Arabidopsis thaliana: one gene and its partner. The protein of the gene in region 1 interacts with the protein of each later gene in a biochemical or structural test. Each region holds a gene or a part of one and is shown in the gene's direction. Other genes may lie near its edges.

Region 1 (3,758 bases):
AATATCTCTACACAAGTGGCACGTTAGTGGTGTCCCTTCTTTAGCTAGTCATCACCTCTAAGATTGAATAAGCAAGTTGGTAATTTGTATTCTAAAAATAACAAAAAGGGGCGAAAACTAATTTAATGCGATACACATTTTGTTTTAGGACAGAGACACAATAGTGGTGGAAACTCACATGGAGGTTTGTGATTTGTCTTGGGAAATAAACCATGTCTCTCATAATGACAATGCTCAAATAATAATAATAATAATCTGTTTTTTTCTTTCTGGTTTAAGAACGTAAATATATGGTTAACTCAAGGCAATACTGATACATAATAATAACATAATAAGCATGTCTACTTTACATTCATACACAAGCAACCAAGAATTTCAATCTTGTCTTGGAAATCCAGCTGCCCATCTCCTTGTTTGATTTTCATTTACTCCACTTATTGTTGTTAAATACATACATAACCACTTGATTTATTGGTAATGCTATTATATTATTGTTGTGTGCTTGTTATGGTTGTAGATGTAGTAGTGAATTAGATATAGAATAAACAAATATGTTAGCGTGATCCATGTTATGTCATCGAGGTGTTTCATTACCACGAATTTTCTTAGAAATTGTGAACAACATATTGGGACCGTGCGATTAATTTGATTTGTGTTGACAAGGAAAAAATTGTTTTATAATTTTAACATAAGTTTGGTTTCCAACACCGGTGTTTAGTACTGTTTTAATATTGTATACCTAATGTAAGTAGTTTATTAAGAATGGACAAAATGTACATTAACTACTTAATATTTAAATGAACATTTGTTTTAAAACAAATAGCAGAGTGAAAAATTTGACATAGCAATGTCATTTTCATTGACCAAAATTAATATATCAAAGTGCGATTCAAATAATATAAACTTATAGTTTAGGTTTTTAACAAAATAGTGGAAATGTTTCGAGATGCTTTCACACAAAACAATACTAGTATTTTCTTCAAAAACTTTAATACATATATATATATATATATATATGAATATAATGTAGTTTTGAAAATAAATTCCATGAACAAAAAAAGGTCCTAATAATAAATTCGAATAAAATAGTGTTAGTTATTTAACTAACACATGTTATGATTAACAACTTTAAGTTCTTTGCAAAAAAGAGTTTAGTTTTTAAATCACGAGTTAAAGTAATCGACACCACCACCATCTTAGATTTTGTAGTTAAGACTAATTAAAGAAAAAGGAAGAATACTTCCAACATAATTTAGAGCCAATGGATTTGAAGTGAGACAAAGCATCTCAGCCGTTGAAAGATTTTGGTCTCGATGTTTTCAAAAAATCTTCAAAAAGCCACACCAGAGAGACACTCAAATAGAGCACCGGTCCGTCAGATTCAGTTTCGAAAACCAGGCCCAAAGCCACCTGCCAGACTTGTTTCCCCTCTAATTACTATATTGTCCTTCTCTCTTTTGCAGTGTCTTCCTCGAATCTTAAGGGTAAAATTGGGAATTAAAGTAAATATTAGTAATGAACCATCTGCGTCAGTTTCGTCTTTTTGCTCTGTTTCCTCGGCATATGTAAGATTTTTTTTTCTTTCAAAAAACACTGTTTCAGATCAGTGACCCTTTCTTTCATTATTTTGGAGAAAGTATTCGAAAATAAAGTACGTGAAAACGGGAAATTATTTAAACTGAGAGGTGAAATTCTTTTTTTTTATTTTCCCTTCCGTTATTGTATTATTTTCCAATGGTATGTTGGAAGAATTTGTTTTAGATTTTTCGAAGATAAAGAAAAATCAACCAATAAAAATAAAAATGGCAAAAACATGTTTTAGTTCCTTTTGAGGAAATGTTGTTATAGAGGGATTATCCAGTTATAGACATCATCGCAAGACCACTAAATTCGTTGTACACAAAAATGATAAGCAACTAGTAGTACTTTGTTGTTTCAAAATTTACAAGTAGATAGAATTAGCTCGTACACAAACCTCTATAATAGTACTATAGAAGAAGCAACTTACGGCCAAAATTGAAAGAGTAAGACAAATTAAGTTGTAGGGGGAGAGTAGAGTCACGCGCTGGATTTGCGAAGAGACTCGACAATGATGGCACAAGAACACGGTACATATGTAGATAAGTACATCTACAGACATAAGCCACACATAGAGGACGAGAAACCAGAAAGAAAAAAAAGAAATGAAAATTCCTTATTACAAAAACCAAAAGATTTAGAGAGAGAGAGAGAGATAGAGCATTGATGAAGACCACTTTTTATATATTGCACGCATCCATATAACAGCTACAGAGAAAGAAAAAAGAAAGAAAGTGATTTTAGAGAAAGAAGAAAAAATTAAAGAAAGTTGGGGCGCCAATTACAAGTTTTGAGCTTTGCATGTGTTTCTTTCTTCCGTACATTAACCACTCTGAGACATAACCTCTCTCTCTCTTCTTTTGTTGTCTTTCTGTTCTGTTCTTGAGATCTCTCTCTCTCTCTCTCTCTAGGGTTATTTTTTTCTGGGTTTTTTGTTTTTACAGTTACTCTGTGTTGTTGAGGAGGCGATGCCCTTATCCTTTGAAAGGTTTCAAGGGGAGGGGGTGTTTGGTTTATCTTCTTCTTCTTTCTATTCAGATTCTCAGAAAATCTGGTCCAATCAAGACAAAACCGAAGCAAAACAAGAAGATCTTGGTTATGTTGTCGGTGGTTTTTTACCGGAGCCGACGTCTGTTCTCGACGCTCTAAGAAGTCCTAGTCCTCTCGCTTCTTATTCTTCTACCACCACCACGCTGTCTTCCTCTCACGGCGGCGGTGGTACCACCGTCACCAACACCACCGTAACCGCCGGTGATGATAACAATAACAATAAATGTAGTCAGATGGGTTTGGATGATCTTGACGGTGTTCTCTCTGCTTCTTCTCCTGGTCAAGAGCAGAGTATCTTGAGACTTATCATGGACCCGGGTTCTGCCTTCGGTGTTTTCGACCCGGGTTTCGGATTCGGGTCTGGTTCCGGGCCTGTGTCTGCTCCGGTGAGTGATAATTCGAATCTTCTGTGTAACTTCCCGTTTCAAGAGATTACGAATCCAGCAGAAGCTTTGATCAATCCTTCAAATCATTGCCTGTTCTATAATCCTCCGTTATCTCCACCGGCTAAACGGTTTAATTCCGGATCTCTTCATCAACCCGTTTTCCCTTTATCGGATCCGGATCCGGGTCACGACCCGGTTCGTCGTCAACATCAGTTTCAGTTTCCGTTTTATCACAACAACCAGCAACAACAATTCCCGTCGTCTTCTTCTTCCACGGCGGTGGCTATGGTTCCGGTTCCGTCGCCGGGAATGGCCGGCGATGACCAGTCAGTCATCATCGAGCAGCTGTTCAACGCGGCGGAGCTAATCGGAACCACCGGAAACAACAACGGCGACCACACCGTTCTCGCGCAAGGGATATTGGCGCGGCTCAATCACCATCTCAACACTAGTAGTAACCACAAGTCTCCGTTTCAAAGAGCAGCTTCTCACATCGCTGAAGCTCTCCTCTCACTCATCCACAACGAATCATCACCACCGTTAATCACGCCGGAGAATCTGATTCTCCGAATCGCCGCTTACAGATCCTTCTCCGAAACCTCGCCGTTTCTCCAATTCGTTAACTTCACAGCGAATCAATCGATTCTTGAGTCCTGCAACGAATCAGGGTTTGATCGGATCCACATTATCGATTTCGACGTTGGATATGGAGGACAATGGTCGTCTCTAATGCAAGAACTCGCT
Region 2 (3,758 bases), about 11 Mb from region 1:
ATTGGACCGTTGATTCGATAGAAATGCCAAACGACATTACAAATCGGATATATCGATTGGATGGAATCCAAAAGTTTATCCAATATAATCGACTAAAGTTAAAAAATGAGTAATCCACCAGTCTAACTAAATACTTTCTTTACCAACAAAAATTTGGGATACAACTGAGTTTATTTAGGTGATAAAAGATTATAAGACTTAACCTTTTAACAAAAAAAATTTTTTAAGACTTCAATCCTTAGATTGTTTTCCAAATATTAATAGTTACAATAGTTAGTTTGTAAAACCTATTTTTAATTTTCCGATACTCTTTGCACGTTGTGTTGAATCCGAGAAATCATGGGGGCTATATAAACAAAACTATACTATGAAATAGCCAAGCAACTTCAGTGATCGGATCTTTGGTTTTTTATTTTAAAAAAAATAAATATTTTATCAGCCGTATCTTCAGGGCCATTCCCCATAAAAACTATAATAGCTTCTATGAAATTTGTAGATTCCTAAAAAAATCTTTATATATCTTTTATATACAATATGTGGCTGTTACGTAGAACAATAAGACTATACAAAAGTTGGGTATTGTTCCTTTTCAATTACAAAAGTCATATTCACTAAAACAAAGCCCTTCAAACTTTTTAAAAAAAATGAATAAATCACGCATTTATACAAAAAGATCCATCCATGCTCCTATAAATTCGAGCATATAATTAACTAAAGAATACTCAACATGTTCATAAGTACACCTGTCTTCACACTCGTTTCACACATTGTAATTGACATAAATTTTAATATCTTTTAAAGCAAAGCATAAGTAAAATTATATAGAGTATTTCTTCAACACATTTCCGGACGATATCACCACGAAAAATATCCTATATCACCTATGTGTCATGACTCATGACCATAAGGAAGGAAAAATGTATTTTTATGATCAAACGGTTTTCACTTTTTTTATTATTCATTCTAGAAAAAAATTATAATCGTTTTCTTTCATTCCTACGATACAATAATTCATAACGATCTTTTAGAATTTTTGTTTTGTTTTCTGTGTGTATGGGTAAATATCTTTCATACGTAGACAGATACATAACAATTAAAGCTGGTGAAGTAATAATTGTGAAGAGACAGAGAAATTGAAAAAAGAGAGTTTGTTTTTCGTCTAAGTAAATACCGATGATGCCCTCACCTTTCTAATTCCCTCCTTTGTCCCTTTCCATTTTCATGTTTATTTCTAACTTCTCTGTCCCTTTCAATCCTTCTCCACCAGATATCCTCTGATTCGATCCCCCACAAATTTTTTCATAAAAATTATTATTATTCTCACTAAAACTCTCAAGAGTAGTTTCGATTTTTCCTCTGAATAAAAAAAAATCAAATAATATATTTGACAAGAGAATTTCCTTCCTAAACATAACATTTTATTTGAATGTTAATTCAATTGATTATTTTTCTTTCTTATATCCTTTTCTTTGGCAAAATTTATTTCTTATATCCAAGCACATTTTTCAATAGGGTTTTGTATGTATGAAATCATATCTACATGCATAAAAGAATAATATAGTGAATAACTGATTTTCTAGAATATTGTAAAACCTTCTTTTTGGGTCCCCATTTATATATATAACTCAATACCTTACTATCTCTCTATATATATATAATCTTCTCTCTCACACAAAACCTAAAATCTCTTTACTACCAGCAAGTTGTTTTCTTGCTAACTTCAAACTTCTCTTTCTCTTGTTCCTCTCTAAGTCTTGATCTTATTTACCGTTAACTTTGTGAACAAAAGTCGAATCAAACACACATGGAGCCGCCACAGCATCAGCATCATCATCATCAAGCCGACCAAGAAAGCGGCAACAACAACAACAACAAGTCCGGCTCTGGTGGTTACACGTGTCGCCAGACCAGCACGAGGTGGACACCGACGACGGAGCAAATCAAAATCCTCAAAGAACTTTACTACAACAATGCAATCCGGTCACCAACAGCCGATCAGATCCAGAAGATCACTGCAAGGCTGAGACAGTTCGGAAAGATTGAGGGCAAGAACGTCTTTTACTGGTTCCAGAACCATAAGGCTCGTGAGCGTCAGAAGAAGAGATTCAACGGAACAAACATGACCACACCATCTTCATCACCCAACTCGGTTATGATGGCGGCTAACGATCATTATCATCCTCTACTTCACCATCATCACGGTGTTCCCATGCAGAGACCTGCTAATTCCGTCAACGTTAAACTTAACCAAGACCATCATCTCTATCATCATAACAAGCCATATCCCAGCTTCAATAACGGTGACTAATCTCTCTTATACATGCTTTTTTATGAATTTATTCAGGTGGTTTTTTATAATTACTAAGAGAACCATTTACACCACTAGCTATTACATGAATTAGCACACACAAAAAAAAAAAAACTAACAAGATCTACATATATGACTTTGATAGATATATGTATATGTTAATTGTTAAAAAGATTTTAAAAAATGCTGTTGATTTATGAATTTATTCAGATGGTTTTGATTTAAAAATCTAAAATATATATTATAGGAACATGTTACACACCATCTATTATTACATGAATTAGTAAAAATAATTAAACCCAAGAAGATGTTATGTACATGTAATGACGTATATTTGAAGTTATGGATCTTGATTGGGGCAAACCAAATTTGCATCTAAAGAACGGTTTCTTTGTTGTGTAATGGAAACTAGACTCACGTGCATTTTATTTTCATTTGTGACTTGTAACACAATTAGGGATTTGGGTTAGTAGAAAAAAAATCACTAATTTTATGTCTCTTTCTTCATTCTTTTCCCCTGTATATAGTATGGTCTGGATTCTGGAATCACAACATATATGATCACTGATGATACGTATATTAATATGTTTGAAGGGAATTTAAATCATGCAAGCTCAGGTACTGAATGTGGTGTTGTTAATGCTTCTAATGGCTACATGAGTAGCCATGTCTATGGATCTATGGTACGTACCAAACTATAATTCATTAATTCAAATAATATTTATACTACATATATGAATAGAAATTTAATGAAACTGAAATTTTTGGGTGAAGGAACAAGACTGTTCTATGAATTACAACAACGTAGGTGGAGGATGGGCAAACATGGATCATCATTACTCATCTGCACCTTACAACTTCTTCGATAGAGCAAAGCCTCTGTTTGGTCTAGAAGGTCATCAAGAAGAAGAAGAATGTGGTGGCGATGCTTATCTGGAACATCGACGTACGCTTCCTCTCTTCCCTATGCACGGTGAAGATCACATCAACGGTGGTAGTGGTGCCATCTGGAAGTATGGCCAATCGGAAGTTCGCCCTTGCGCTTCTCTTGAGCTACGTCTGAACTAGCTCTTACGCCGGTGTCGCTCGGGATTAAAGCTCTTTCCTCTCTCTCTCTCTTTCGTACTCGTATGTTCACAACTATGCTTCGCTAGTGATTAATGATGCAGTTGTTATATTAGTAGTTAACTAGTTATCTCTCGTTATGTGTAATTTGTAATTACTAGCTAAGTATCGTCTAGGTTTTAATTGTAATTGACAACCGTTTTATCTCTATGATGAATAAGTTAAAATTTTAATTACTACTATGAAGAAATGACTATTTCAGTAAATTTTTAAAAAGGAATTCCTCACAGATCCGGAGGCATGAAAGAAATGCTAGAGATGTACTATATTTGATTACAATGTTATGATCTTAATTATCGATTACAACGTGATCTTGAACCGAAAT

The links. The genes of interacting proteins can lie anywhere in the genome.
Region 2: the proteins of HAM1 (region 1) and WUS form a complex in vitro, tested with the Arabidopsis thaliana proteins (one study listed by BioGRID).

Annotation. Positions count from the first base shown.
Region 1 is NC_003071.7:18,618,821-18,622,578, reverse strand, and holds the start of HAM1 (GRAS family transcription factor), read left to right. Parts: upstream 1-2,127; 5' UTR 2,128-2,546; coding exon 2,547-3,758. UniProt on the Arabidopsis thaliana protein: Probable transcription factor involved in plant development.
Region 2 is NC_003071.7:7,808,718-7,812,475, reverse strand, and holds WUS (Homeodomain-like superfamily protein), read left to right. Parts: upstream 1-1,664; 5' UTR 1,665-1,804; coding exon 1,805-2,300; intron 2,301-2,902; coding exon 2,903-2,991; intron 2,992-3,082; coding exon 3,083-3,376; 3' UTR 3,377-3,605; downstream 3,606-3,758. Other genes in the region: AT2G17960 (uncharacterized protein), read left to right, coding at 22-96. UniProt on the Arabidopsis thaliana protein: Transcription factor that plays a central role during early embryogenesis, oogenesis and flowering, probably by regulating expression of specific genes. Required to specify stem cell identity in meristems, such as shoot apical meristem (SAM).